Linked DNA regions of Macaca fascicularis. The protein of the gene in region 1 interacts with the protein of each later gene in a biochemical or structural test. Links are inferred from orthologs where the notes say so. Each region holds a gene or a part of one and is shown in the gene's direction. Other genes may lie near its edges.

Region 1 (3,500 bases):
TCAGTCACCTTAACCAAAACTTCCCTGAGCCGAGCATGGTGCTGGGTGCTGGGCTGATGCAGGGAAGTTCTACCCAGTCCTGCCCCGAAGAAAGTGACCCTGTGTGTGTGTGTGTGTGTGTGTGTGTGAGAGAGTGAGCAGTTCAATGCTAGGCCTCCTATCTCCAGAGCACACAAGAGGACTGGATTAGCCAGGCATGGTGGTCCCCCAGCTACTCGGGGGACTGAGGCTGGAAGATTGCTTGAGGTCAACCCAGGAGGTTGACGCTGCAGTGGGCCAAGATGGTGCCACTGCATTCCAGCCTGGGTGACAGAGTGAGACCCTGTCCCTCCTCCCCAACCCCCTTCCAAGAAAAAAGGGCTGGGAGTGACTGAGGGCTAAGACTTCCCCAGGTGTCAGGTCAGGAAGGTTTCCTGGAGGCGGAAGCACATCACTGTGAACAATTATCCACTGTAGTGTTAGCTATTTGTTGTCCATCAATGTCTCCTAATCACAGAGGAAAGATGAGTTTTCTGGGGGTCAGAATTTTGGATAGATAGGCTGCTTTGGCTTAAAAGCACATTAGATATAAACCAGTGGTAAAGCCAGAGTTTTGTTCCCGGGATTAGCTGCCTCTTGCCTGTGCCATTTCTGAGACTGTGTTAACCCCCCATGCCTTGTCCTTCTCTTGGCAGTAATCCAGTCCCTCATAGCACTGGTGAATGACCCCCAGCCCGAGCACCCGCTTCGGGCTGACCTAGCTGAAGAATACTCTAAGGACCGTAAAAAATTCTGTAAGAATGCTGAAGAGTTTACAAAGAAATATGGGGAAAAGCGACCTGTGGACTAAAATCTGCCACGATTGGTTCCAGCAAGTGTGAGCAGAGGCCCCGTGCAGTGCATTCAGACACCCCGCAAAGCAGGACTCTGTGGAAATTGACACGTGCCACCGCCTGGCGTTCGCTTGTGGCAGTTACTAACTTTCTACAGTTTTCTTAATCAAAAGTGGTCTAGGTAACCTGTAAAGAAAGGATTAAAAATTTAAGATGTTCTAGTTCTGCTCTCTTTGTTTTAAAAATCACTGCTTCAATCTATTCCAAAAGAATGGTGTTTCTTTTCTTGTCCAATTTTATCCAAAATCTTCAAGTTGCATTTAGCCCATAATGTTTTAAAAAAAGGAAAAAAAAGGTTGTGGTTCCCTTTCTTCCCTACCCTTGCCACTCCCACTTTCTGGCACTGAGTTTATTTTTCACTTACTTCCCCAGACCCGGGGCCCGCCTCCACAAAAGAGAAGAGACTGCCCTGGCGGTCCTGGTGGCTTTTCTTAGCACGTGTGGGACTGTTGCCCAGTGTGGGAGTTGGTTTAAATTCTCCTGACTCCAGTTTATAACATCCTTTTAAAAATTTTAAAAACAAACAGCCACACCCCTCCTCCAGTCCTTCTCCTCAGTTCTTGTGTGAATCTTCAGCTGATGTTACCACAGTAAAATGAGTTAATTGGGCAAGCTCTGATGTCAGTGTGTGTAACTGACCTCTGGCCTGGCCTGCACAGACAAACCCTATAATCACAGGTCTGTGGTGGCCCCGAAATGGGGGGCCTGCTAGTCAGGAGGATGCTGTGCACACTGTGTGTGATGAATCTCGCCAGAAAGGCTCCTGATGTCCCAGGTTGGCACTTCTTCCTGCAGCCATTGTAGAAGATCTGCTGGTCCTTGCAGGCAAAGCTACAGCCAGAATGTCCGTTTGAAATTCCCAGCTCATCTGTCACCGAGTTTCATCTGAATGTGCCACGGAGCTTGCTCTCCACTTCCTCTGTGCAGCGGCCCCGCCACAGCCCTCCCTCGGCACACTTTGACCCTTTGTAGGATTGGAATTAGCAGGACTCGGCTATTTAAAGCACCAGTCTGGGGTCTCCTGGGCCCCTGCTGACCCCTTCCTCCAGAGCAGCTGGCCCAGCCCGGGAACAAGACGGACTTCCTCTCCCTTTGGACTCACAGCCTTTGCAGAGTCAAGCTCCACTTGAAGCTCACTCAGTAATATCCTTTCAATGTGTTTTATATTGTTTTGACTGCCTTTTTTTGTAGAAATAAAAATTGACCTTAGAATTTATCATCAGATAAACTTGTAAAGATTTGAATATTAATGTCTTTTCAAGGCAAATGGGATTGTCCCCAAACTAGTAGAGAATCTGTGTCACTCTGACACCCCAAGGAAGCCGACGATCCAAATGCCGTGTGTCACCAACCCCGCTTCTGCCACTGGTGGCTTCCCTTCTTGGCTTTTGGGGGGGGACTAGATCCTGTGGAGAAGATGACTTAAACTTTGCTTTTTGTTTTAATTTTAATTCTAGATCTTTCCGGTCTGATCTGTGCAGAAGTGGGGAGTGATGGGCAGGTTAGGTAGCCTAACATCATTCAGGCGCGTGGCCCCTGTGGTGTGTACATGAACTCAGCTTCTTTTGTCCTAGGTACGCCAAGGGCAGGTTTCTGGAGACTCGTGTGCCCAGAATGGCAAGGGCACCGGGCTGGCGTTTCCGTATATGTGTCTTCATTAGCAGAAAAATGATGATGGATTTTATTTCACTCACACTCCAATTTGTAATAAAATGCCAAATTCTGTCAGAAACTATCCAAACAAGCCACCATTTGTTCTTGTTGCTTCTCTGGATCCAGAAATGTTGCCATTCTTGGAAACTGTCCCATTGCTTCATATTTCTGCCAACGTAGCTCTGCCTGCCTGTCACCCCCTCACTGCGCTCTGCTCACCACGGGAGGATACCTGTGTGCCAGCAGCCCCTCAGGGACTCTCAGCCCTGGCACTGGCACCCCAGGGTTGGCCCCGTCAGCAGAGGCCTGGCTTTCGAGCCAGTGGGTGTCTCTCCTTCGGGCCTGGGCGACTTGCTCCTGCCAGCCATGCCCTCAGGGTAGGCTCTGAGCAAGCTGGTGAACAGCTTTGGCTGCTCCAAAACCAAAAAGCTGGGTCCTCTGGAGGAGGGGCGAGCTGTGGAGCAGCCACCCACTGCTGCCCCTAGCTCACTCAGGAATTCACACCCGCCTGGTTTCTTGAAGTGTGCCGGGTCCTTCCCTCTGCTCCCCACTCCCCACCACGGCAGAGAATAGGCTTTCTAAGATGCTGCGATCCCGTTCTGCTGCCCTTAATAAAAATGCTCTCAGACACTGGTTAGTCGTGTGGGTTTCTTCCTTCCTGGGAGCGGGCAGTGCCAGGGGCCTGTGCTCTTGGAGATGGGAGGGCTGGCTGGGGCCCAGGTCCTGGGGCTTCTGATCTCTCTCCCCATTCCCAGCCTCTCCAAAAGAGGTACATAGAGGTGTTCCTGCCTCCCTAGAGGGAAGGAGATGAGGTATAATCAACGAGAAAGCCAGAGACTCCAGACAGTCGGGGCCTGCAGAGGGCGCTCTTGGATGTCTTGTGAGGGGACAGGGAATAACGTGTGGGTGCATCACTTACATGTGGGAGTCATCCTGGAGCCCCCTGGGAGTGTTACGATCCGTGTTTTGAAGAGG
Region 2 (3,500 bases), on another chromosome or scaffold:
GAATTAACCGAGAGACAGAGGTTAAGAAAGTCCCAGATTTAGGGTACGAGTAGTAGGAAAGAGAGAAATTACTAGATTGAACAACAAAATTTGTATATATAGTGCAGAATAGGGGAACAGGATTGATCCACTGTTTGATAGTACTGTATCTGTTTTCCTAAAATACTGCATTCAAGAAGTGATCAGTATATGAAATGGTCAATAGAAAGTAGTAGGGGCCGGGCGCGGTGGCTCAAGCCTGTAATCCCAGCATTTTGGGAGGCCGAGACGGGCGGATCACTAGGTCAGGAGATCGAGACCATCCTGGCTAACACGGTGAAACCCCGTCTCTACTAAAAAATACAAAAAACTAGCCGGGCGAGGTGGCGGGCGCCTGTAGTCCCAGCTACTCAGGAGGCTGAGACAGGAGAATGGCCCGAACCCGGGAGGCGGAGCTTGCAGTGAGCTGAGATGCGGCCACTGCACTCCAGCCTGGGAAACAGAGCGAGACTCCGTCTCAAAAAAAAAAAAAGAAAGTAGTAGGATGTCCTTTCGTTACATTGTTATTGCTCACTTTTTTGTTTTTTACTTGTTATCTTTTCAAATAGTCGTTGCTTAGCAAATCTAAGGCCTCTCTTAGATTCTGGAACAATGGGCACTAAGGGGCACACTGAAGTTATTGTACCACATTTGACTGAATCTTACAATAGTCATGTAAGTGAATCAGTATTTTGAAATAAATGTCTTCTTTATGTCTTATAATTTTTGTCTTGATCAACAATTTGATTTAGCTTTCCTAATCCTTCTGAGTTTGCTGTGCCAATGATGTTCATACATATGTGCATGTACATTTTTTAAAATATAATTGAACTTTTTTTTAATTATCAGAATTTTGTGTCTGTTGTTTCTGGAGCATTATTCTACTGTTTACTATTTATTTCTCAGAGCTGCTTAGTTTTCTAATACCCTTTGAGTTTAAGATTGTTTGATAAGAACAAACTATTAGATTGAGACTAGAACCGTCAACAAAGACATAAAATTTTATTCGCTTGCTGAGACGAAGTGAGCCATTTTAGATTAGGTAAACCAATAAACCTAGGCAAAATGTACTCTATAATAGAATGTGGATTTCTTCAGTGGTACTTTATCCACAAAAAAATGACTTAGGTATTTGCCATTTATTTAATTTATCAGTTGAAAAATATGAAAAGTATGTAATCTTGGGTCAAAGAGGGGAAGAAAATAAAACTTTAAGAAATAAAAATTTGTAGAATATAAGTATTATAAGTATTGAGAAAGAAGATTAAGAAACCTGTATCAAGCATTGAGGACGTATTTCTGCTCCCAGATGTTTTTCTCTATGGAAAAACTCATGCTTTTCCGAGCATTATACTGGGTATTCCTGAATTACTTTTCAAAGCAGGGAGTGTTATAAAACTTTACATTTCACCTTGATTCATGAAGAAAAAAATGATTTATAGATGATGGTGTGTCATGAGTACTACATGGTGCTTTAAATGAGTACACAAATAATAAATAAGATTCATGTTTGGCATTACATAGCTGTTAACAAATAGGTTAAATGTCAAAAGAATTAACTTCTCTTATTGCCTAAGAGAGCGAAGATATAAAAATGTCTGGTTGGATTTTATTTATCTTTGGATTTTTAATAGCCTTAAAGCTCAAAAGTAAATTAAACCAATAAAAATTGGTCATTGCTGCTCCTTAAGTATCTGTGGTCATATTTTATAAATTAGCGGGATCCCCCAGAAGAGGAAGTACCATTTTGTACTCTAAAATCCTTTCCAGCTGCTATTGAACATACCATACAGTGGGCAAGAGATAAGGTAAAAATTCCTTTTTAAATTTATTTTCTTTGAAGTGAGAAAGAAGATATTTCTGACTTTAAACAGCCTTCTATTTCTAATTTTTTTTCCTTTTCTCTGTTACAGTTTGAAAGTTCCTTTTCCCACAAACCTTCATTGTTTAACAAATTTTGGCAAACCTATTCATCTGCAGAAGAAGTCTTACAGGTAAAAATCACTACATTTTAATACAAGCTTAACACTTTGTGTCAGTGTAATCTTATTTTCAAGTCATCTACAAGTGATTTATTTTACCTCCATAAAGAGTGATTGTATATAAAAAGTGAAATGATACATAAGGAATCTTGAAATTAGGTCACAAATTATCCTTTTGGTTTGGTTGAACTATACAGAATTGTCAATATTTGACCATGTTTAACTCACAAAACAGCAATTCATATGGTTCAAGCTAATAAAGATATGATAGTTATGATAGAAAGGCTACAAATAATAGAAGGGCTTTTATTAAGCCCTTTGGAAAGAAAAAATTGAGGTAAGTTCTAGTTAAAATTTCATGAGGGAACAATTATCTCCAAGACTTATTACTCTTATAGTGAAGGCAACTTTAAAGATGTTTTCTCACTTTCTTTTAATCTTAATATAATAACAAGGCCCACTTTTTAGTATCAAATATTCATAGCACTTTTAGTAAGTACATATATTATAGTACTAATAACTTAGAGCTAGGAAAATATGAGGATAATTTGTAAGATAAGAAATCAGAGTTAAAATTTTGTGTGCTATTTCTTACCTTTCCCCTTCTCAAACAGAAAAGAGCTTAAAGAAGGAAGGAAAAGGAGCTTGAGGTGAAAAAAGAAAAGCATAAAACACATGAGTTGACACTTCAAACTTAGGCAAACTTTTGTTGGGGGATGTATATATGTTTGTAATTGGAAATATGTTGATTTTTTTTTTTTTCTCTCCCATTCTAGAAGATACAGAGTGGACACAGTTTAGAAGGCTGTTTTCAAGTTATAAAGTTACTTAGCAGAAGACCTAGAAATTGGTCCCAGTGTGTAGAATTAGCAAGATTAAAGTTTGAAAAATATTTTAACCATAAGGTAAGTATGCATTGTGAGACATTAAGAAAAGGTCTGACCTTGGCTTTTTTAGTTATTAACAAATTAATTTCATTGACCTGAAATGTATATTCTTTCTTTTGGCAAGCTTTTCAGAAGTTAGTAGTAAGTTAAATGAGAACACATGCTAATCTAAAAGAAGTTTATTAAGAATAGAAGAAGCAAGAAACTGAGAAAATAGGCGTATTCAGTCAGAAATTTTGCTGGGATTTTGCTATTTCCACCCATATCCGATAATCACTCTTTATGTCTGTTTCCCCATCTGTAAAATAGAAATAATAAATTTGTACCTAATACGTAAGGTAGTGGTGAGGATAAAAGGAGGTAAGACTTATAAAGCATTTAGAACAGAGCCTGGCACATAAAAAATTACTAAATATTAGCTGTTATTCTTACCTCCAGTTAAATATGGTTGCTGAAATGTGTGTTGCATTCTCTTTAGTCTTTCCCTCTCTTTAGGCTCTTTAGTTCATCTTCCTTAAAAACAACTTGGAAAAAAAACAAACAAAAAAACAAAAACGGGGTTTCCCTATGTTTTCCAGGCTGGCCTGGAACTCCAGGGCTCAAGTGATCCCTG
Region 3 (4,159 bases), on another chromosome or scaffold:
GTGTACTGTGGGGCCGGCAGGCCGGGCACTGTGACCACTGCCTCATCTGACATGAAGGCCTCCATCTCGAGCTCCAGGCACCAGGACTGCTGTGAGCAGCGAGGAGAAGCAGCCAGACACCCCATCAGGACAAGCTCTGGCTCCGACTCCTGGTCCTAGAGACACACAAGGGCCCAGACTGTCTGCTTCACAGACAAGGACGCTTATGTACCCAAGTCGTGCCCACCCAACTCACCTGAGGCTGTGACTGTGGTGGGTCCACACCGCAGAGGGCAGACAGCTGGGTGACCGCGGCCCCCACATCTGGCAGGAGGCAGAAGGTGGTGGTCGAACAGTGCACAGCCAGCTCAGGGGGATTGGTGGTCACCAGATGCTGTGAGAAGCCAGGTCAGGGTGCCCGGCGTGGTGGACCCACAGGGAGGCCCCGCCCCCACGAAGACCCGCTCTGGAGGCCCCGCCCCGCCGATGCCACGCCCCGATGAAGACCCGCCCTACGGAGGCCCCGCCCTCGAGGCGGGCCGCACCTCGCCGCCAGCTTCCAGGCCAGCAGCCGCTCCAGCTCCCTGTCACATGCTCTCCGCTCTGCCCCTGATGGCCGCTGGCAACTCCTCCCGATACCTGGGGAAGGGCGGTGAGGGGAGGTCCGGCCACAGGGTACGCTCGCCCACCGATCCCTTTATCCCCTTCCACTCTACCAACGGCCCAGGGCTTCCAGCCGCACTCGGGGGTCCGCGCGCACCCGTAGGACCTCTCGATGGCGCTCCGGAATGGCGGCCCAGCGACTGCGGTCCTTACACCCAACAGCGCGGGAAGCCACTATGTTCACGCGGAGGGGCGGGGCCGGCTGCCGGGGGCGGGGCCGGCTGCTGGGGGCGGGGCTTCTGCGTAGGGGCTGGCTGCTGGGGGCGGGGCCTCTGGGTGGGGCGGCCTGTTGGGGGCGGGGCGTCTGCCGATGGGGCGGGCTGCTGGGGGCGGGGCTGGCTGCCGGGGGAAGGGCCTCTGGATGGGGCCCGCTGCTTGGGGAGGGGTCTCTGCGCGTTGCGGCGGGGGCGGAACGCCAGGTGGTCGGGACAGGCTGTTGGGGGAGTGCGCCCTCAGCGAACCAAGGCATCTCACTGGGAAAGTCGAATGTGTGTGGCGGTCGCCGCCGAGGCCGGTTCCGAAGAGGCCTCAGCAGGGCGGGCCAGGGCCTCCGCGAACGCCGACCCTTAAGAGCGCCGAGCGAGGGAACCGGAGTGTTCCTCCCAGCCCCCGACGCCGCGGGCCTAGCGTCCCCGTCCAGGCTGATTGGGCGCACGCGCGGCCCCACTCGCCCCCACCCGTGCGTCCCCGCTGGTCCCGCCCCCGGCCGGAAGTTCCGGCGGTGGAGCTGGGCCGGGCCCGAGAGGATCGCGGGTTCGGGCTGCGGGGCTCGGGCTGCAGGCGCTGGGCCGCCAGGCGCGGAGCTTGGGAGCGCAGCCCAGGCCGTGCCGCGCGGCGCCATGAAGGGCAAGGAGGAGAAGGAGGGCGGCGCGCGGCTGGGCGCTGGCGGCGGAAGCCCCGAGAAGAGCCCGAGTGCGCAGGAGCTCAAGGAGCAGGGCAACCGTCTGTTCGTGGGCCGAAAGTACCCGGAGGCGGCGGCCTGCTACGGCCGCGCGATCGTGAGTGCGCTCGCGCGGGAAGGGCGGCGGCGGCGGCGGCGGCGGCGGCGGCGGCGCCGGGGAGGGCCGGGCCCGTGCCCGGCTGGCCCCACCGAGGGTCTGGTTCCTCTGCGGGGCATGTCCTGGGCTCCTAAAGCCCAGCCGTGGTTCCCGAGCCCAGCGCCGGGTGTCGGAGAACGAGGGTGGGATGCTGGATGGAGGCCGGCCGGGTCGGGGGGAGGGCAGGGGCCCTCGCCCCTTGAGGCTCCCAGGTCCAAAGCCTGGACTCTCCAAAGATTTGGAAAACTTTACAAAACCAAGTGGAGTCAAGCGGATAGGCTCAGCCAGTACTCCACTGTCTGCAGATCCTTGGATCCAGGGGCTTTGACGACTGAGAAGCCTAGTTTCTTGATTCTAGCCAGAGCGCAGAAGCTGGGACGGGCCGTGGGACAGAGGGGGCGCGCTGAGCCTACACCCTCATGCGGCTGGCCCGGCCTTGGTCCCTAGACCCGGAACCCGCTGGTGGCCGTATATTACACCAACCGTGCCCTGTGCTACCTGAAGATGCAGCAGCACGAGCAGGCCCTGGCCGACTGCCGGCGCGCCCTGGAACTGGACGGGCAGTCTGTGAAGGCGCACTTCTTCCTGGGGCAGTGCCAGCTGGAGATGGAGAGCTATGATGAGGCCATCGCCAATCTGCAGCGAGGTTGGCTGACAAGCTGCCCGGTTGTGGGGCCCCTGGGGCCAGGCGGGTGGACTGGCCAGAGAGTGACCTGAAGCCCCCGTTCCCCAGCTTACAGCCTGGCCAAGGAGCAGCGGCTGAACTTCGGGGACGACATCCCCAGCGCTCTTCGAATCGCGAAGAAGAAGCGCTGGAATAGCATCGAGGAGCGGCGCATCCACCAGGAGAGCGAGCTGCACTCCTACCTCTCCAGGCTCATTGCCGCGGAGCGTGAGAGGTGGGACCCTCACCCCAGGTCGCCCTGTCTTGGGGTAATTCTGAATCACCAACTACCAACATGAGCGTTTATTGAAGGTTTTACTGGCGAGCAGAAAACGTGGGGAAGAAGCATGAATGTTAGCCCTGAGGTTGGGGTGTGGTCAGACATCTGGCCAGGTCCATCTCTTACTGGCTCCTGGTCAACCCCCAGGGAGCTGGAAGAGTGCCAGCGGAACCACGAGGGTGATGAGGACGACAGCCACGTCCGGGCCCAGCAGGCCTGCATTGAGGCTAAGCATGTGAGGGTGCCCCCCTCCCACATGTGGGTCTGTGTGTGTGCACCTGGCGTGGGAGCATCCCCGCCTTGTGTTGGGTCTGTGCCCCATGGAGGAGGGAGGTGGGGTGTCCCGCACAAGTGCAGTGCTCAACTCTTCACAGGACAAGTACATGGCAGACATGGACGAGCTCTTCTCTCAGGTGGACGAGAAGAGGAAGGTGAGTGTCTGTCACTTGCTGCGGTGGGTGGCAGGTGCTGGAGCAGTGCCCCTTCCCAGCCTCTGATCGTGTGCCCCTGTGCCACAGAAGCGTGACATCCCCGACTACCTGTGTGGTAAGATCAGCTTTGAGCTGATGCGGGAGCCGTGCATCACGCCCAGTGGCATCACCTACGACCGCAAGGACATCGAGGAGCACCTGCAGGTGAGGCTGCGGCTGGGGGAGCAGGGCCAGCAGCATGGTCCTGGGCCCACTGACTGCCCTCTGCCCTTCTTGTCACTGCAGCGCGTGGGTCATTTTGACCCCGTGACCCGGAGCCCCCTGACCCAGGAACAGCTCATCCCCAACCTGGCCATGAAGGAAGTCATTGACGCATTCATCTCTGAGAATGGCTGGGTGGAGGACTACTGAGATGCCTTGCCCTGCCCAGCATCCTGGTCCAGGAGAGCCCTGGGCGGAAGCCCTCCACCCCTGTACATAGTTTGTGTTGCTGGCCACCCTGGCCCCTTCCAAGTTCAAGTTCTGCTGTTGGGCTCTGGACTATTCCCCCTCTCAGCATAGCTCTTGCTGGGCCATGATTGTCCCCCTTTGTGGGCTGGAAAAGCAGGTGAGGGTGGGCTGGGCTGAAGCCACTGCCGACACTGTCTGTGTAATAAAATCCATGAGCACGAGATGGGACGTGCTGGTGTGTGGCAGGCATGCCTGCCAGCTGCTTTGGCTAGCCGAGGAAGGTGGAGATGAAGACGCTGGTGTCAAGGTTGAGTGTGGCATGCCACCAGCGGTCAGGGAAGTACAGCACCTGGTGGAGAAAAGGGGTGCAGCACAGATTAGCTGGGGGCCTCTGGCCTGGCCTGGCCCTCTCCTGCCAGCCACTGACCTCACCAGCCCGGATGGTACACTCCAGGGGCCGTGCAGACGGTGGCAGGGCTGGATATGTGTCCCGGAGCCAGGCCAGCGTGGTCTTGTTGGGGTGGAACTCTGGTGTCTTCTCAGGTGGGTAGAGGAACCAGCGCTGGGGGCAGGAGCAGCAGCGTCACCCTTGCCTGTTTTGGTCACCGAGCCCCAAGGCTCAACCCCAACCCTGTGCTGACCTTACGGCCGTAGA
Region 4 (4,262 bases), on another chromosome or scaffold:
CTATTTTATGGATGGGGAAGCAGTGGCCCAAGTTGGGGGTTTCTCTTGTGGCTGAGTATTCATAACTAATTTTATATTAATGTAAATATATATTTACATATCTTAACATATTACCTTTATATTAATATATAATGTTTTAAAAATTTAACAGTGCCTTGTGCCAGCAATGTTCTAAGACTCATCCCATAATTTATATTCTCTGATTTTCTTTTTTTTTTTTGAGACGGAGTTTCACTCTTGTCGCCCAAGCTGGAGTGCAATGGCACGATCTCGGCTGACTGCAACCTCTGCTTCCCGAGTTCAAGGGATTCTCCTGCCTCAGCCTCCGCAGTAGCTGGGATTAAAGGCGCCCGCCACCACGCCCAGCTAATTTTTGTGTTTTTAGTAGAAACAAGATTTCACCATCTTGGCCAGACTGGTCTCGAATTCCTGACCTCAGGTGATCCACTCGCCTCGGCCTCCCAAAGTGCTGGGATTACAGGCGTGATCTGATTTTCATAATAACACATCTCTGTGAGGTGGATGGGCTCTGTTACTATCCTCATTTTACAGTTGTGAAAACTGAGGCACCTGCCAAAGACATGTAATGAGTTTGGGTTTGATTGGACTAAGGCAGCCCTTGTTCCTGAGGCGGGGAGAATGGAGGGAGGTGTGGGGAGAGGAGGCAGGGGCAGAGAGAACACTTCCCCTGGGTTTTCTGGTGGCACTGCAGTGACATCTTTCATTATTCATGAACAGGAAGGCGTGCTCACTTTGCCTTGGCTATAGCATCGTAATCTCTATTTGCTGGGTAGGGCAGTCTTGGGTGTTTGTTCGCCTTATGCATAATTCATAAATTGGGTGGAACCTTTCTTGACCTCTCTTGAGTTTCCAGGTTGAGCTACTGCAGCAGCGTAATTCATTATTCAGAACCTGGGAGAGTGTGTTTTCTCTGCAGTAGCCCCATTTCCCTGCTTATAGTGTATTAGGTGCAGCAATAGGTGGGCGTGCTCCTTTTATTCCAACCCACTGGGTCTTATGCATTATTCATGAGTAAGTTGTGGCCTGGGTCTCCTTGGATTCCGGGCCCCTGCAAGATCATCATTATTCATGAATGGAGGTGTGTGACTTCCATGTTTTAATATCTGCTGTCTGGTTGCTGGTTGTTAGTCTACCAACCACTCAACTTTATGCATAACTTATAATCAGGAAGCGTGACCTTAATGGTTTTTCTTCGCTTCCATGACAGCCTGGCTGCAACCATTCATTATTCACATTCCATGAGGCGTGGCCTCTCTTTTACCTGTTTTCGTTGTTACTGCCACAATGCCCACCAGGTGGTACTGTTCCACTTCTAACCGAATGAATCGCAACCGGACCGGGAACTTTATGCATGATTCATAAGTAGGCGCGGCCCGCTTGCATCCGGGTTTCTGGGGGTGGGGCCCAAGGTTTTGTTCCGGCCCCAGGCTCAGCGGCCGCCATCTTGTGTCGGCGGCTCGGCTGAAGGAGGTGGCAGGGACAACCACAGCCACAGCGGCCGGGGGAGGAGAAGGCGGCAGCGGCGATTCTAGGCGGCCCAGGCGGCGGGGAGGAGGAGAAGGAGGAGGGTGGCGGCCGGGCTTGGCTTCGGCTCCTTGAGGAGTTGGCGGCGGCGCGACCCGGGGAACCGGCATTGGTAAAAAACGTCCTTTCACTGCGCCTCGCCCGGGGCAGGGGTTTCGGGGAGGCACTGGAAGGGCCTGAGCCACGCTGCTGTCGGGGCGGGCCGCGGTGACTCGGGCGCCAGGAATCAGCGGAGTAGGGAGGGGGAGCAGAGCCTGGGGCGGGGCCGACTTTCCCCGGCCAGGACCACCCCGGATCCCTCTAGTTCCAAAATCTGACCTTGGAGTCGGACCCCCACGATGTGCTTTTAGAGACTCATGCCCAACATCTCTAGTCTGGGACCTGACTCCGTCCCGAACCTTGTATCTCAGATCAGAACTCTCCCCAGTCTCCGATAGAGATTTACGGGGATCAGCATTGCTGATCAGAGCTTCTCACCATTGAATGCCATTAAAGACCTGCCCCAGAATCTCCTTTGAGACACCTCCTAGCCTCTCAGTATTTGCCCTCAAGGCTTCCAAGACAGGCTAGACCTGGAAGGGGTCCATAGGCTCTTTATCTCTGTAAGAGAGTCCTCGTTTGCATTTTCCTTCAGACCCCCCATCCCACACACATGTTAGCCACGCTCAGAGCTTCCAGGGGTACTAGACCCTGTGAAAGGCCATTTGGGCCTGGCCTTTGTGTCGGGGAACCCTCTTCGCCTCACCTCAGGTCTCCTAACCCCACCCTGGCCCTAGCGTCTTTCATTAGAGACTCTGCCCAGTATTTCTACTCAGAGACCCCTCTTAGCATCTGCCTTGAGAGACTTCAATTCCTAGACTCCGTCCTTTGACACTTTCTCTACTTTTACGGAATTTCTTGCTTTTCATACTCCCAGTATTCAGAGACTACTGAGAGGCTTCAGCATCTTCCCCATCAGACACCTTGAACCCCCAGAGCCTTCCGGTGCACCAGATAGCAGGGAGGAACTGTTTGGATACATAATCCTCCATCAAAGAGCCCCTGCGAGCATCTGCTCTTGCAGTCCCGGTTGGCTTCTAGCCCCTTCCATCAGAGACTCGCCTCCCCTACCCCACCCTAGACCCAGCCTCTGCCGTCAAAAGACAACCCGGGTTCTAGCTGCTTTTTTCAAAGATCTCTTATCCTCACATCAGGCCTCAGAATCTGCCCTCAGATACTTTCAAGGTCCCTAATGTCTGCAGTCAGGGGTTTTCAGCTTCTGCTTTCAGACTCCTTGGACCCCAGGATCATTGTCAGATGTCCCTTCCACCCACAGGCCCTCTTGTTTTCTTTCTTCTTCCTTTTTTTTTTTTTTTTGAGACGGAGTTGTTTCACTGTGTCGTCCAGGCTGGAGTGCGGTGGCGCCATCTCGGCTCACTGTAACCTCCACCTCCCTGCTTCAAGCGATTCTCCTGCCTCAGCCTCCCGAGTAGCTGGGATTACAGGCATGCACCACCACGCCTGGCTAAATTTTTGTATTTTTAGTAGAGATGGGGTTTCACCATATTGCCCAGGCTGGTCTCGAACTCCTGACCTCAGGTGATCCACCGCCTCGGCCTCCTAAAGTGCTGGCATTACAGGCGTGAGTCACTGCGCCCGGCCATGGCCCTCTTGTTTTCTACCGCAATAGAAAACCCTCTTCTTAGCATCTACCTTCAGCGTCTCCATGGGGTCCTACATAATTGGTCAGAGAAACCCAACCCCATTTGGGGACCTAGCCAGTGTTTGCTTACTAACCTTTTTAAGGCCTGAACTATCTGGGCCCAGCTTCCCTTTTCCACCCCCTCAGAGCAGCTGTGATACCTAGCATGTCCTGTCAGAGATTGACACAGGGCCTTTGTGTTCCATTAGAAACCTCTCCCAGCCCCTCACCATCCACCCTCAGAGCCTCCTGGGATTCTGTAGTAGGAATGTCAGATACAGCTCTCCTCTTGCATGTCCCTATCTATTATTTTTGGTTAAAGATTTCTCTCTGCTACCAGCATCTGTCTCCAGAGACCTCCAGAGCCTCAACATCCTCCTGATGGAGACTACCCCTCCCCCCAGACCCCAACGTCTTCCTGCTGCCTCCTCAGACTCTAGAATCCCCCACCCATTCCCTTTGCAGCTTCCATGGGGCCCAGCAACTGCCCTCCTACCTCTTTGCAGCCTCTGGGGGCCTCCACTGCAATTTTTCAGCCTTTCTCTAAAAGATCCTTTTCCAGAGATCCGAAATTTGAGTCTTTTCCTAACACCCTAGCCTAGTCCCTTCCCTCCCAGGACTTCTAACATCTCCTTTCCCATTTGCCTCAGAGCCTCCTTGCTCTTAGACACCCACTTCCTGATTTTCCTCTCACGTTCCCATGGACTTCTCAGTTAACCCCTCCCGGAAAGCTTGACATGCTCCAGCCCCCCTTCTCTATGCCCTAGCTTCTCCATCCTGCTAACCTGCCTCCTCTCACACCTCCAAGACTCCTCCCTCAAACCCTCTGGTTTGAGAATAGAGAATGCTTACGCTTGAAAATCTTCAGTTTGGAGACTCAGGTATGTTTAGAAACTAAGCCGCAGCTCAGCTTTGCCAAACAGTTCACAGTGTGTATGTTATAGTGGGGGCCTGAGCAAATGTTGAGGGAGGAAGGGTGTAGATTGTTTTTCTGCTGGGGGTGGGGGATCTTTAGCTCCTATCCAGAGTTTCTGTC
Region 5 (3,500 bases), on another chromosome or scaffold:
GAATATTTTCTCCCATTCTGTAGGTTAGCTTACTCCCTCTTTTGCTGTGCAGAAGCTCTTTAGTTTAACTATGTCCTATTTATCAATTTTTGTTTTTGTTGCAATTCTTTTGAGGACTTAGAAGTTTTTTTCTCAAGGCTAATATCAAGAGGGCATTTCCTAGGTTTTCTTCTAGGATTTTAATAGTTTTAGGTCTTACATTTAAGTATTTAGTCCATCTTGAGTTAATTTTTGTGTATGATGAGAGGTAGCACTCTGGTTTCATTCTTCTGTATGAAGAAGCCAGCTGGGGGATCACATTTCAACATGAGATTTGGAGGAGAGAAACATCTAAACAATACTACCAAGTTAGAGGATAAAGAATTTGATAAAGTCAGAATATAAGGAATATGAGAGCAATGGACTTGAGTTGGAGAGAGGAAGAGATTTATTTAGCACACATACTAGTTGATAGAAAGATTATCTGTAATAAGATTATATGCATTCAGATGCTAGTAGTGAGCAGATATAGTAGAACACACAAAAGTTCTCTTGTGGTTGCTTCTGTTTCCTCTGTGAAATAGGAAGTAAGATCATCAACTCAGAATAAGGAGCAGGGAGAAGTAAGTATTTGAGGAAAGAGGAGTAGGAATGAAATAGTCATCTAGGAAAGTGGGAGAGTGAATGCAGTAGGGAAATGTGATTACCAGGAAACAAACCAGTGATGAAATATGACTGTTGGTCATGGAGGAGTCAGCTTGGTTGTTTATGCATTTCTAGCATGTTCCATTGCCTAGGTATAGACATTGAGTAACCTGAGAGTTGAATTTAGCTGTGCTTGGGATTTTGCTAGAATACACTGGCGGAGGTAGGGTTTGAAGGGAGTTATTTTATTTTATTATTTGAGACAGAGTCTTGCTCTGTCACCTAGGCTGGAGTGCAGTGGTGTGATCTTGGCTCTCTGCAACTTCCACCTCCCAGGTTCAAGCAATTCTCCTGCCTCATTCCCCTGAGTAGCTGAGATTACAGGTGCGTGCCACCATTCCCAGCTGATTTTTTGTATTTTTAGTAAGGACAGGGTTTCACTGTGTTAGCCAGGATGGTGTTGATCTCCTGACCTCATGATCCACCTGCCTCAGCCTCCCAAAGTGCTGGGATTACAAGTGTGAGCCACCGTGCCCCACCTTGAAGGTAGTTATTTTAATGATTGACTATGGAATCTAAACTGAGTAAGGGAAGACATAACTTCATGAGGAGGCTAAGGTAGTATTAATAGCTTCAGTGGATTTTTTTAGTTCCCCCACATTGCTGGGAGTCTGGGGCTTCCTGGGTTGGCTGTTGTGAATAGGAGCAAAGGCACAGTGAGGTTAGTCCTAAAAGCCTCACATGCAACAGTGAGAATAAGAAAGGAACGGGGGAGCTGCCTTTTCAGGTGCACAGAGCCCTTTTCTATTTCGTTATCCAATTAGGTTAATTCAATTTATAAAACATTTAGGAAGATTGAGGCAGGGTATGGTAACAGAAGTCTTGTATCATCCTCTACATTTTTTGATATATGTTATATAGCTGTATGTATAAAATAGATTTTAACTTTGTTTTTCATACCTAGCATTTTATATAATATTTTAGTTTTCATGATTTATGCCATTCACTTACTGAATGCTTTACTTGTAAAGTCTCATGATTTTTCTGTTATCATTGTTCTGTAAGAAATTGTTATTTTGCAAATTTTAAATAAAATTTTTCATTTTTCTTTGCAGGCACTATTTCATGGAAAGTTTATCGATACTGGTTTCTCTTTACCATTCTACAAGCGTATGTTAAGTAAAAAACTTACTATTAAGGATTTGGAATCTATTGATACTGAATTTTATAACTCCCTTATCTGGATAAGGTTTGAAGATTTTGTTTTGCAGTAAGTCATTTTTTTGAAACTCGTTTTGTTTCATTTTGTTAATTAGTGTATATATATTTATTTCACCCAGAGATAACAACATTGAAGAATGTGGCTTAGAAATGTACTTTTCTGTTGACATGGAGATTTTGGGAAAAGTTACTTCACATGACCTGAAATTGGGAGGTTCCAATATTCTGGTGACTGAGGAGAACAAAGATGAATATATTGGGTAAGGCGATATACCTTATTAAGCTTAATTTCTAGAACACTTCAGAACTAAATCCTTTCTCTGTACCCTTAATTTCATCCCCTTTTCATGCCTTTGGGAAGTTCTTCTCACCAGTACCACTGCTCTTGAAAAAAAAAGAATGTATGTTGCTTCATTTTCCCACTGCCATTTGCTGTAACCATTCTACCATTTCCCTTTCCATGTCATTTTCCCTTTTTTAACTTAGGCTTTTAAATAGTGCTCACCATAGCCTCTTTCTTGAAACTCAGTGTTTTCTTGAATTCCATGATCCTATGTCATACTGATTTTCCTTACATTCTCTTGTTTTAAAATTTTGTTTTCAGAGAGGGTTTCACTCTGTCGCTCAGGCTGTAGTAGTGGCGTGGTTGACCATTGAGCTCAAGCTATTCTCCTGCCTTAGTCTCCTGAGTAGCTGGTACTACAGGCTTATACTACTATTCCCAGCTAATTTAAAACAATGGTTTTTTGTTTTTGTTTTTGTTTTTGTTTTTTAAAGACAGGGTCTCACTGTATTGCCCAGGCTGGTCTCAAACTCTTGGCCTCAAGTCATCCTCCTTCCTCAGCCTCCCAAAATGCTGGGATTACAGGCATGAGTCACCACTCCTGGTCACTTGCACTTTTTTAATGACGGTTCTCTAAATCTCCTATTTCCTAAATGTAGGCATTTTTCCAAGATTTTATTTCAACCTGCTTATCTAAATATTCTGCTAACATAGCTTCAATTTTCTGTTAAAGTTATATCTGAACTTTAGAAATAATTTCCATTTGCCAGCCAGGTAAATCCAAACATTTTCAGGAAAGAACCAGGCAGTAAACTTGTTAGGCTTACAGGCCACATTTCTTATTGCAACTACTCACCTCTGTGGTATAGTGTGAAGGTAACCATAGACAGTGTATAAATAGATGTGTGGCTGTGTTCTAGTAAAACACTTGTAGACACTGAAATTTGATTTTGTATGATTTTCATATCCCAAAATACTTTTAATATTTTTCAGTCATTTTTTTAAAATGTAAAAACTATTCTTAGCTCAAATGCTGGGGACAAAAAAACCAGATGATTAGGCCCACGGGTCATACTTTGCCAACACGTGAACTACAGATGACCCATCTTAAAATGTCATGGGTCTAAAATCAAACTTTTCATTTTTTCTAGATATTTTCTCCTACTGATGTCTTCTATGAATAGTACTACCATTTTCACCCTCTTAGATGCTAGCTGTCATCTCTGTCTCTTTCAGATTTTTTGTTTTTTATATTTGTTTTGAAAATGGGATTGGATTATACACATTACTCTGTATTTTACTTTTTTGTCTTAAGGACAGTACAGTTAAATCTAGCTCATTTTTTAATAGCTAGGTAAACTGGGGTGGTTTT
Region 6 (3,500 bases), on another chromosome or scaffold:
AATTCTTAGTTTCTTTCCTTATTACTGTGGGTTTTTGCTAATAGCCATGCCTACATATTTGTTTCTGTCTGTTTGTCATCTTAGTCTATGTGACCTGAGTGATCTAGAATACCTTGATGAAGAGTTCCATCAGAGCCTGCAGTGGATGAAAGACAATGATATCCATGACATCCTAGACCTCACGTTCACTGTGAACGAAGAAGTATTTGGGCAGGTGTGTGTCTCTGCACACCTGGTGCCTAAGTGTGGTAACTGAAAGCTATTGACGAGTGAAGAATTAACTCCATGGCTAAGATCAGATGCTTATTTATTTGTGGTTTATTGGGTGATTTAAACTCCAGATCACACACAGTTACAATAATCGCAGTTACAAAGGTTAGAATTAATGTCAGCTGCAGATTAAGATGCTGTAAATTACAGATGGTGATAACCTTTTATGTTGTAAGCAATCTTCTTTTTATTTCCAACTGAAATATTCCCTAAAATATGAGAATTTACCTTATATAGAATGCAGTTTTTTTGAAGTCCACGCTACAGAATTTTAAAATTCCATTTATAGAATGGTGGCTGGGCACGGTGGCTCATGCCTATAATCCCAGCACTTTGGGAGGCCAAGACAGGAGGATCAGTTGAGCCTAGAAGTTCAGGACCAGCCTAGGCAACATGGTGAAACCCTGTCTATACAAAAAATACAAAAATTAGCCAGGTGTGGTGGCACACACCTGTAGTCCCAGCTACTCAGGAGGCCAAGGTGGGAGGGTCACCTGAGCTGGGGAGGTTGAGGCTGCAGTGAGCCTGGATCATGCCACTGCACTCTAGCCTGGGGGACAAGAGTGGGACCCTATCTCAAAAAAGAAAAGAAAAAAAAAAAGAACCAAAATTGATTTTTTTGAAGCTAAGGGAACATAAACAATGTTTTGGGGAAGACTTAAAAACAGAATATATTGATTTTTTTTTTTCAATAAAAAAAATTGAAAGAGTAGGGAAAGAGTAGGGAAAACATTTCTTCCAGAAATTATATACTAGTTTATAAGTAATATTCTTTTTTTTTTTTTTTTTTTTTTTTTGAGACGGAGTCTCGCTCTGTCACTCAGGCTGGAGTGCAGTGGCCAGATCTCAGCTCACTGCAAGGTCCGCCTCCCGGGTTCCCGCCATTCTCCTGCCTCAGCCTCCCGAGTAGCTGGGACCACAGGCGCCGCCACCTCGCCCGGCTAATTTTTTGTGTTTTTAGTAGAGATGGGGTTTCGCCGTGTTAGCCAGGATGGTCTCAATCTCCTGACCTAGTGATCCGCCCGTCTCGGCCTCCCAAAGTGCTGGGATTACAGGCTTGAGCCACCGCGCCCGGCTTATAAGTAATATTCTTATTTAGGCATTAATCTTTAGCTGCTTTTCTGATTTCCATGTGTTTTGAAAAAGTTCTCAATTTAACATTCACTTGAGTGTAATTCTGCTTCTTTAAAGTAAATCTTTACTCTAGATATAGTCAATTCTGAGAAATTTGTGAAAATGGGTTTTGTCAAACATTCAAATAGTAGCAGGCTGGTATCTGAAGCCAATTCGTCTGCATTTTAAAACTTAACCTGTAGTACCAGCAATATATATATATATATAAATCACCAAAGCTTTCAAGCACCAGCTCAATGCCTAGTTTTTCCTGAGTGCATGTGCTCCATGAGTGCCTGGGGCCTCACTGCCAGCTTGTGGGATGTGCCTAGGGCAGGGCTGGGGACAGGTAGCTGGCTGATTTCAGCTCACTGCTAGTCATGTTCTTATAACAGTAAGAGTATTGCTTTATAGTCATTCTTTTTATTTTTTAATCTCAGATAACTGAACGAGAATTAAAGCCTGGGGGTGCCAATATCCCAGTTACAGAGAAGAACAAGAAGGAGTACATCGAGAGGATGGTGAAGTGGAGGATTGAGAGGGGTGTTGTACAACAAACAGAGAGTTTAGTGCGTGGCTTCTATGAGGTAAAGACAATCAGCAGTAGGAGGAGTTTGCAGTCTGATATCAATGATGCCACAATCCATCTTATTGTACTTACATGTGTAGACGATTTCTGCTGTGTTTACTGTTGCTCTCTCCATGCGAAAAGTTCAATATTTTTTCCCTTATATTTCAAGAGCACCAAAAGAAGCTTAACTCACTGTTACGAGAGATCACTGAAATAAATGTTAGGGACTGAACTCAAGTAGCATTTGTTGATTTAATGACCACTAGTAACATTTAAGCCATGCATCTTATGCTTAGATACGGGTAATCAAATCTCATGCTTGCTATGTGAAATAATTATATCTGAGGTCAGAATGAGTTGGCACATATTGTATGTGGCTTTTTCTGTAGAAACACTAAGTATTTTCCTAAAGGTGGACGGGACCTAGATTAATCAGCAGTCAGTTATAAAACAAAAATTCTGTCGAGGCAAATCTCATCAACCTTAAAGAATGCCTTATATTTGTAGGGAGCTTTACAGGTTTTCAAGTGCCAGCTCAAGGTACACACATATTATTCCTGAAACTCCACGTGTCCCTTTTTCTAAGACTTAATTATAGCTGATATTTCTCCAGGCTCCTAAGCCATGCCTTGTACTCTTTTTATTCCACAGGTGGTGGATGCCAGGCTGGTATCTGTGTTTGATGCAAGAGAACTGGAATTGGTCATCGCAGGCACAGCTGAAATAGACCTAAGTGATTGGAGAAACAACACAGAATATAGAGGAGGTGAAATTTGATTTATAGATGGCTAGATTTTAAATTTCAGATTAAAGGAAGGCATTGGTTCAGCTTGCCAACTGAATATAGGACAGGCAACAGCACTTGGACTCTAATCATAGGTCTGATTGCAGGCTCCCTTGAGACCTTGGGCAAGGTACATTCTCTTCTTCTCCTAGTTACCTCATCTGTCAGATGGGAGAAGGACTGTTTACACAGCATCAAAGGATGTCATAACTCTTAATTGTTGGTGAAGAAATGTGACCATAAGAACACTAATTAATTACTTTATGGTGTTGCCAGTGAAGCACCAAGGAGCTAACATCCAGCTGGTCAAACTCCACCTATTCCATTTTGTTTCTAAAACTTAAAGAAGCACACCCTTTGAGGTTCCCAGTCAGCACAGGTTTCCCACCATTCACTACACTCCTTAACAGTTATCATTCATAGTCAGAATACTTGAATGGAATAAGACACAGTTCCCAAAATATGACATTATTGGAGAAGTTCTAAATTCAAGCATGAATTTCAAGTGAAAAGAAGACTGTAGTAAGGTTAGTTAAAAACTGCACTATCTGAAACTTCACAAAATGGAAAGCTTTAAAAGTGACCTTTCTGCAGATTAGTACAAATTATCGATTCATAACCGGGACCAAACCCATTGAAATTTGAGTGTTAAACTAATACTTTGCAAGGGACCTGATGGTAACCCAGAGTTAAGGTTTTATTAAATAATTTTAAGCAAAGAATACATGTTCTGAAATTTATCACCATGTTAGAAAGCCTTCA
Region 7 (3,500 bases), about 59 Mb from region 1:
ATGAGTAGAAATATGTAATTTTGTATAAATTAAAGGCAATCGAAGAGAAGAGCAATCATTTATTCCTAATAAGAAAATCAACTAGCAGTATTAAAGTGTGTCACGAGATACACTTATCAGAAGAGGCCATGAACTAACAGGAAAAGAGATCCAGATTACAGGCTTATGCCACATGTATTACCCCAGATCACCCATGTTACATAGTTTTAGTAACCATAATCTTATGTTAATATTGGTTCATATTTTCACAATATTTGACTTAGAGTCTCAGCATTTTTCTAATATGTGAGTGGCTGGAATTATGTGCTTTACTGCCTCTGTGAAATTTTCATATTGATTTAACGTGTAGGGAGTAGTGGCACTTGACGGGGATTATTATGGGACTTAGTAATAGATGGAATATTAGATTGATTTCAGCCACTCACATGGGTGAATGGTGAATTTTAAATTTGCCTATGAATAGTATTTCATTGATTCTAAGACCAGTATTTTCATGTTATAATATCTCTGAAATTAAGATATATCGCAGGTAAAATTGGGAAAATGTTGTCTTAGATTCTTTAAAATGTAATAATGTATATATTACCATCTACCAGAGATGGTGTATACTACCAACTCTGTGAAATAGATGTGAGTTTGAACAGAAGCAATAAAAATCAACATGAGATTAGAAAACTATCACTAGCTGAGGGGTATAGATCCCTGAGAACTTTATAACACTGTTCTTTGATTTGTTGACATGGTAACCTGCAAGATTTTTCATAGTAAATTTTCTTTTGATTTCAGAGAATGGTTCTTTCTTTTGTCACATGAAGTGTTGAACCCAATGTATTGCCTGTTTGAATATGCAGGGAAGGATAACTACTGCTTGCAGATAAACCCCGCTTCTTACATCAATCCAGATCACCTGAAATATTTTCGTTTTATTGGCAGATTTATTGCCATGGTAAGTGCAGGTCAAGAATTATGTTTACTTTGCTTACTCAGCAATACTAAATTTTCTCTTAGGTGCCATAACAGATCATACGAGAGAAAGGGAAGTGATTTTGTTTTGTTTTTTATTTTTGAGACAGAGTCTTGCTGTATCACCCAGGCTGGAGTGCAGTGACACAATCTTGGCTCACTGCAACCTCTGCCTCCTGGGCTCAATCAGTCCTCCTGCCTCAGCCTCCCAAGTAGCTGGGATTACAGGTGTGCACCACCATACCCAGCTAATTTTTGTGTTTTTAGTAGAGATGGGGTTTTGCCATGTTGACCAGGCTGGTCTTGAATTCCTGACCTCAGGTAATCCACCCACCTCAGCCTCCCAAAGTGCTGGGATTACAGGTGTAAGCCACCGTGCCCAGCCAGGGAAGTGTTTTTTTGAGACAAAGTTTCACTTTTGTTGCCCGGGCTGGAGTGCAGTGGCGTGATCTCGGCTCACCACAACCTCCACCTCTCAGGTTCAAGCAATTCTCCTGCCTCAGCATCCTGAGTAGCTGGGATTACAAGGATGTGCCACCACGCCTGGCTAATTTTTGTGTTTTTAGTAGAGATGGGGTTTCTCCATGTTGGTCATTATGGTCTTGAACTTCTGACCTCAGGTGATCCACCCACCTCGGCCTCCCAAACTGCTGGGATTACAGGTGTGAGCCACCATGCCCGACCCAGGGAAGTGTTTTTAAATGAAGAATTCATTTAACATATTCAGATAAAATGATTATTGTACAATTATTTTAAGCAGTCTTGTTTCCTTTTTTCATAGGCTCTGTTCCATGGGAAAATCATAGACACAAGTTTTTCTCTACCATTCTATAAGCGTATCTTGAGCAAACCAGTTGGACTCAAGGATTTAGAATCTATTGATCCAGAATTTTACAATTCTCTCATCTGGGTTAAGTAAGTTTCTTTTTCCATGTAATTTATTAAAATATAGTTTATATGCATTCCGTGTAGTATTGATAACCTATGCAAACTGTAAGCACATAATTGGTTTATTGTATTTAAATGATCTATATATCAAACCTGCCTTTTTATTCAATATGATAAATTTTACAAAAATATACCGAAGATCTTTGGCAATAATATGATGACCTTAGAATAGAATCTTATTTCTTCTTATTTTGATGTTATAACTTAATTATTTAAGAATATGGGCCTTAGGTAAAGACTTATAAATTATGATTGAATTGGTGGATATAACAGAGAGTGCTAATTTCATTTGTGCAGAGAAAACAATATTGAGGAATGTGGTTTGGAAATGTACTTCTCCGTTGACAAAGAAATTCTAGGTGAAATTAAGAGTCATGATCTGAAACCTAATGGTGGCAATATTCTTGTAACAGAAGAAAATAAAGAGGAATACATCAGGTGAGAGTGCTCCTTTTCACATTTCACTTTTTGTTTGACTACAGCGTATTGATAATTGCTTACTAATGCTAATGGAGAGTTATCTCCAAAAATAATATTTGTCTTTGTACTAATCAATATCCTATGTAGGCAATCATTTTTCATTTCTAAAAAGTTTTTTTTTCAAAAAGTGTTTTTGAAAGAGTTTAAGGATAAAAGTCATGCAGGATTACTCTTTTAAATATCAATTCTGTAACTATGCTGTATAACATGTCATTAAAAAGAATCTCAAATATATATGCAGATATTTTTACAGGGAATATTGTAAGGTGTATTAATCCACTTTCCCGCTGCTGATAAAGACATACCCAAGACTAGCCAATTTACAAAAGAAAGAGGTTTAATGGACTTACAGTTTCACGAGGCTGGGGAGGCCTCACACTCACGGTGGAAGGCAAGGAGGGGCAAGTCACATCTTACATGGATGGCAGCAGGCAAAGAGAGAGCTTGTACAGGGAAACTCTGTTTTTAAAACCTCATCATTGGCCGGGCGCGGTGGCTCAAGCCTGTAATCCCAGCACTTTGGGAGGCCGAGATGGGCGGATCACGAGGTCAGGAGATCGAGACCAGCCTGGCTAATACGGTGAAACCCCGTCTCTACTAAAAAAAATACCACAAAAAACTAGCCGGACGAGGTGGCGGGCGCCTGTAGTCCCAGCTACTCCGGAGGCTGAGGCAGGAGAATGGCGTAGACCCGGGAGGTGGAGCTTGCAGTGAGCTGAGATCCGGCCACTGCACTCCAGCCTGGGCGACAGAGCAAGACTCCGTCTCAAAAAAAAAAAAAAAAAAAAAAAAAACCTCATCATTGGCTGGGCACGGTGGCTCACGCCTGTAATCCCAGCACTTTGGAAGACCAAGGCAGGCAGATCACGAAGTCAGGAGATTGACACCATCCTGGCCAATATGGTGAAACCCCGTCTCTACGAAAAATACAAAAATTAGCTGGGTGTGGTGGCATGTGCCAGTAATCCCAGCTACTAGGGAGGCAGAGGCAGGAGAATGGCTTGAACCCAGGAGGCGGAGTTTGCAGTGAGCCAAGATAGCACCACTGCACTCCAGCCTGGTGACAGAGCGAGACTCCGTCTAAAAAAAAAAAAAGACCATATCATATC

Evidence for each region.
Region 2: the proteins of UBE2L3 (region 1) and UBA6 form a complex in vitro, tested with the Homo sapiens proteins (4 studies listed by BioGRID, with this or other methods). The link is inferred for Macaca fascicularis from reciprocal best matches to the Homo sapiens genes UBE2L3 and UBA6.
Region 3: the proteins of UBE2L3 (region 1) and STUB1 form a complex in vitro, tested with the Homo sapiens proteins (3 studies listed by BioGRID, with this or other methods). The link is inferred for Macaca fascicularis from reciprocal best matches to the Homo sapiens genes UBE2L3 and STUB1.
Region 4: of the proteins of UBE2L3 (region 1) and UBA1, one has a biochemical effect on the other in vitro, tested with the Homo sapiens proteins (24 studies listed by BioGRID, with this or other methods). The link is inferred for Macaca fascicularis from reciprocal best matches to the Homo sapiens genes UBE2L3 and UBA1.
Region 5: the proteins of UBE2L3 (region 1) and WWP1 form a complex in vitro, tested with the Homo sapiens proteins (9 studies listed by BioGRID, with this or other methods). The link is inferred for Macaca fascicularis from reciprocal best matches to the Homo sapiens genes UBE2L3 and WWP1.
Region 6: the proteins of UBE2L3 (region 1) and HECW2 form a complex in vitro, tested with the Homo sapiens proteins (2 studies listed by BioGRID). The link is inferred for Macaca fascicularis from reciprocal best matches to the Homo sapiens genes UBE2L3 and HECW2.
Region 7: the proteins of UBE2L3 (region 1) and ITCH form a complex in vitro, tested with the Homo sapiens proteins (19 studies listed by BioGRID, with this or other methods). The link is inferred for Macaca fascicularis from reciprocal best matches to the Homo sapiens genes UBE2L3 and ITCH.

Annotation. Positions count from the first base shown.
Region 1 is NC_088384.1:31,510,386-31,513,885, reverse strand, and holds the end of UBE2L3 (ubiquitin-conjugating enzyme E2 L3), read left to right. Parts: intron 1-672; exon of another isoform or gene 673-674; coding exon 675-829; 3' UTR 830-3,148; downstream 3,149-3,500. UniProt on the Homo sapiens protein: Ubiquitin-conjugating enzyme E2 that specifically acts with HECT-type and RBR family E3 ubiquitin-protein ligases.
Region 2 is NC_088379.1:66,127,127-66,130,626, forward strand, and holds part of UBA6 (ubiquitin-like modifier-activating enzyme 6), read left to right. Parts: intron 1-587; coding exon 588-693; intron 694-1,736; coding exon 1,737-1,826; intron 1,827-1,931; coding exon 1,932-2,012; intron 2,013-2,776; coding exon 2,777-2,905; intron 2,906-3,500. UniProt on the Homo sapiens protein: Activates ubiquitin by first adenylating its C-terminal glycine residue with ATP, and thereafter linking this residue to the side chain of a cysteine residue in E1, yielding a ubiquitin-E1 thioester and free AMP.
Region 3 is NC_088394.1:1,434,390-1,438,548, forward strand, and holds STUB1 (E3 ubiquitin-protein ligase CHIP), read left to right. Parts: upstream 1-1,359; 5' UTR 1,360-1,481; coding exon 1,482-1,640; intron 1,641-1,984; exon of another isoform or gene 1,985-2,126; coding exon 2,127-2,325; intron 2,326-2,412; coding exon 2,413-2,578; intron 2,579-2,631; exon of another isoform or gene 2,632-2,770; coding exon 2,771-2,858; exon of another isoform or gene 2,859-2,997; coding exon 2,998-3,054; exon of another isoform or gene 3,055-3,141; coding exon 3,142-3,465; 3' UTR 3,466-3,725; downstream 3,726-4,159. UniProt on the Homo sapiens protein: E3 ubiquitin-protein ligase which targets misfolded chaperone substrates towards proteasomal degradation.
Region 4 is NC_088395.1:47,299,431-47,303,692, forward strand, and holds the start of UBA1 (ubiquitin-like modifier-activating enzyme 1), read left to right. Parts: upstream 1-1,462; 5' UTR 1,463-1,657; intron 1,658-3,993; exon of another isoform or gene 3,994-4,034; 5' UTR 4,035-4,107; intron 4,108-4,262. UniProt on the Homo sapiens protein: Catalyzes the first step in ubiquitin conjugation to mark cellular proteins for degradation through the ubiquitin-proteasome system.
Region 5 is NC_088382.1:96,199,763-96,203,262, forward strand, and holds part of WWP1 (NEDD4-like E3 ubiquitin-protein ligase WWP1), read left to right. Parts: intron 1-1,739; coding exon 1,740-1,873; intron 1,874-1,964; coding exon 1,965-2,105; intron 2,106-3,500. UniProt on the Homo sapiens protein: E3 ubiquitin-protein ligase which accepts ubiquitin from an E2 ubiquitin-conjugating enzyme in the form of a thioester and then directly transfers the ubiquitin to targeted substrates.
Region 6 is NC_088386.1:91,856,129-91,859,628, reverse strand, and holds part of HECW2 (E3 ubiquitin-protein ligase HECW2), read left to right. Parts: intron 1-84; coding exon 85-214; intron 215-1,823; coding exon 1,824-1,970; intron 1,971-2,605; coding exon 2,606-2,720; intron 2,721-3,500. UniProt on the Homo sapiens protein: E3 ubiquitin-protein ligase that mediates ubiquitination of TP73. Acts to stabilize TP73 and enhance activation of transcription by TP73. Involved in the regulation of mitotic metaphase/anaphase transition.
Region 7 is NC_088384.1:90,523,383-90,526,882, forward strand, and holds part of ITCH (E3 ubiquitin-protein ligase Itchy homolog), read left to right. Parts: intron 1-786; coding exon 787-946; intron 947-1,744; coding exon 1,745-1,878; intron 1,879-2,208; coding exon 2,209-2,349; intron 2,350-3,500. UniProt on the Homo sapiens protein: Acts as an Acts as an E3 ubiquitin-protein ligase which accepts ubiquitin from an E2 ubiquitin-conjugating enzyme in the form of a thioester and then directly transfers the ubiquitin to targeted substrates.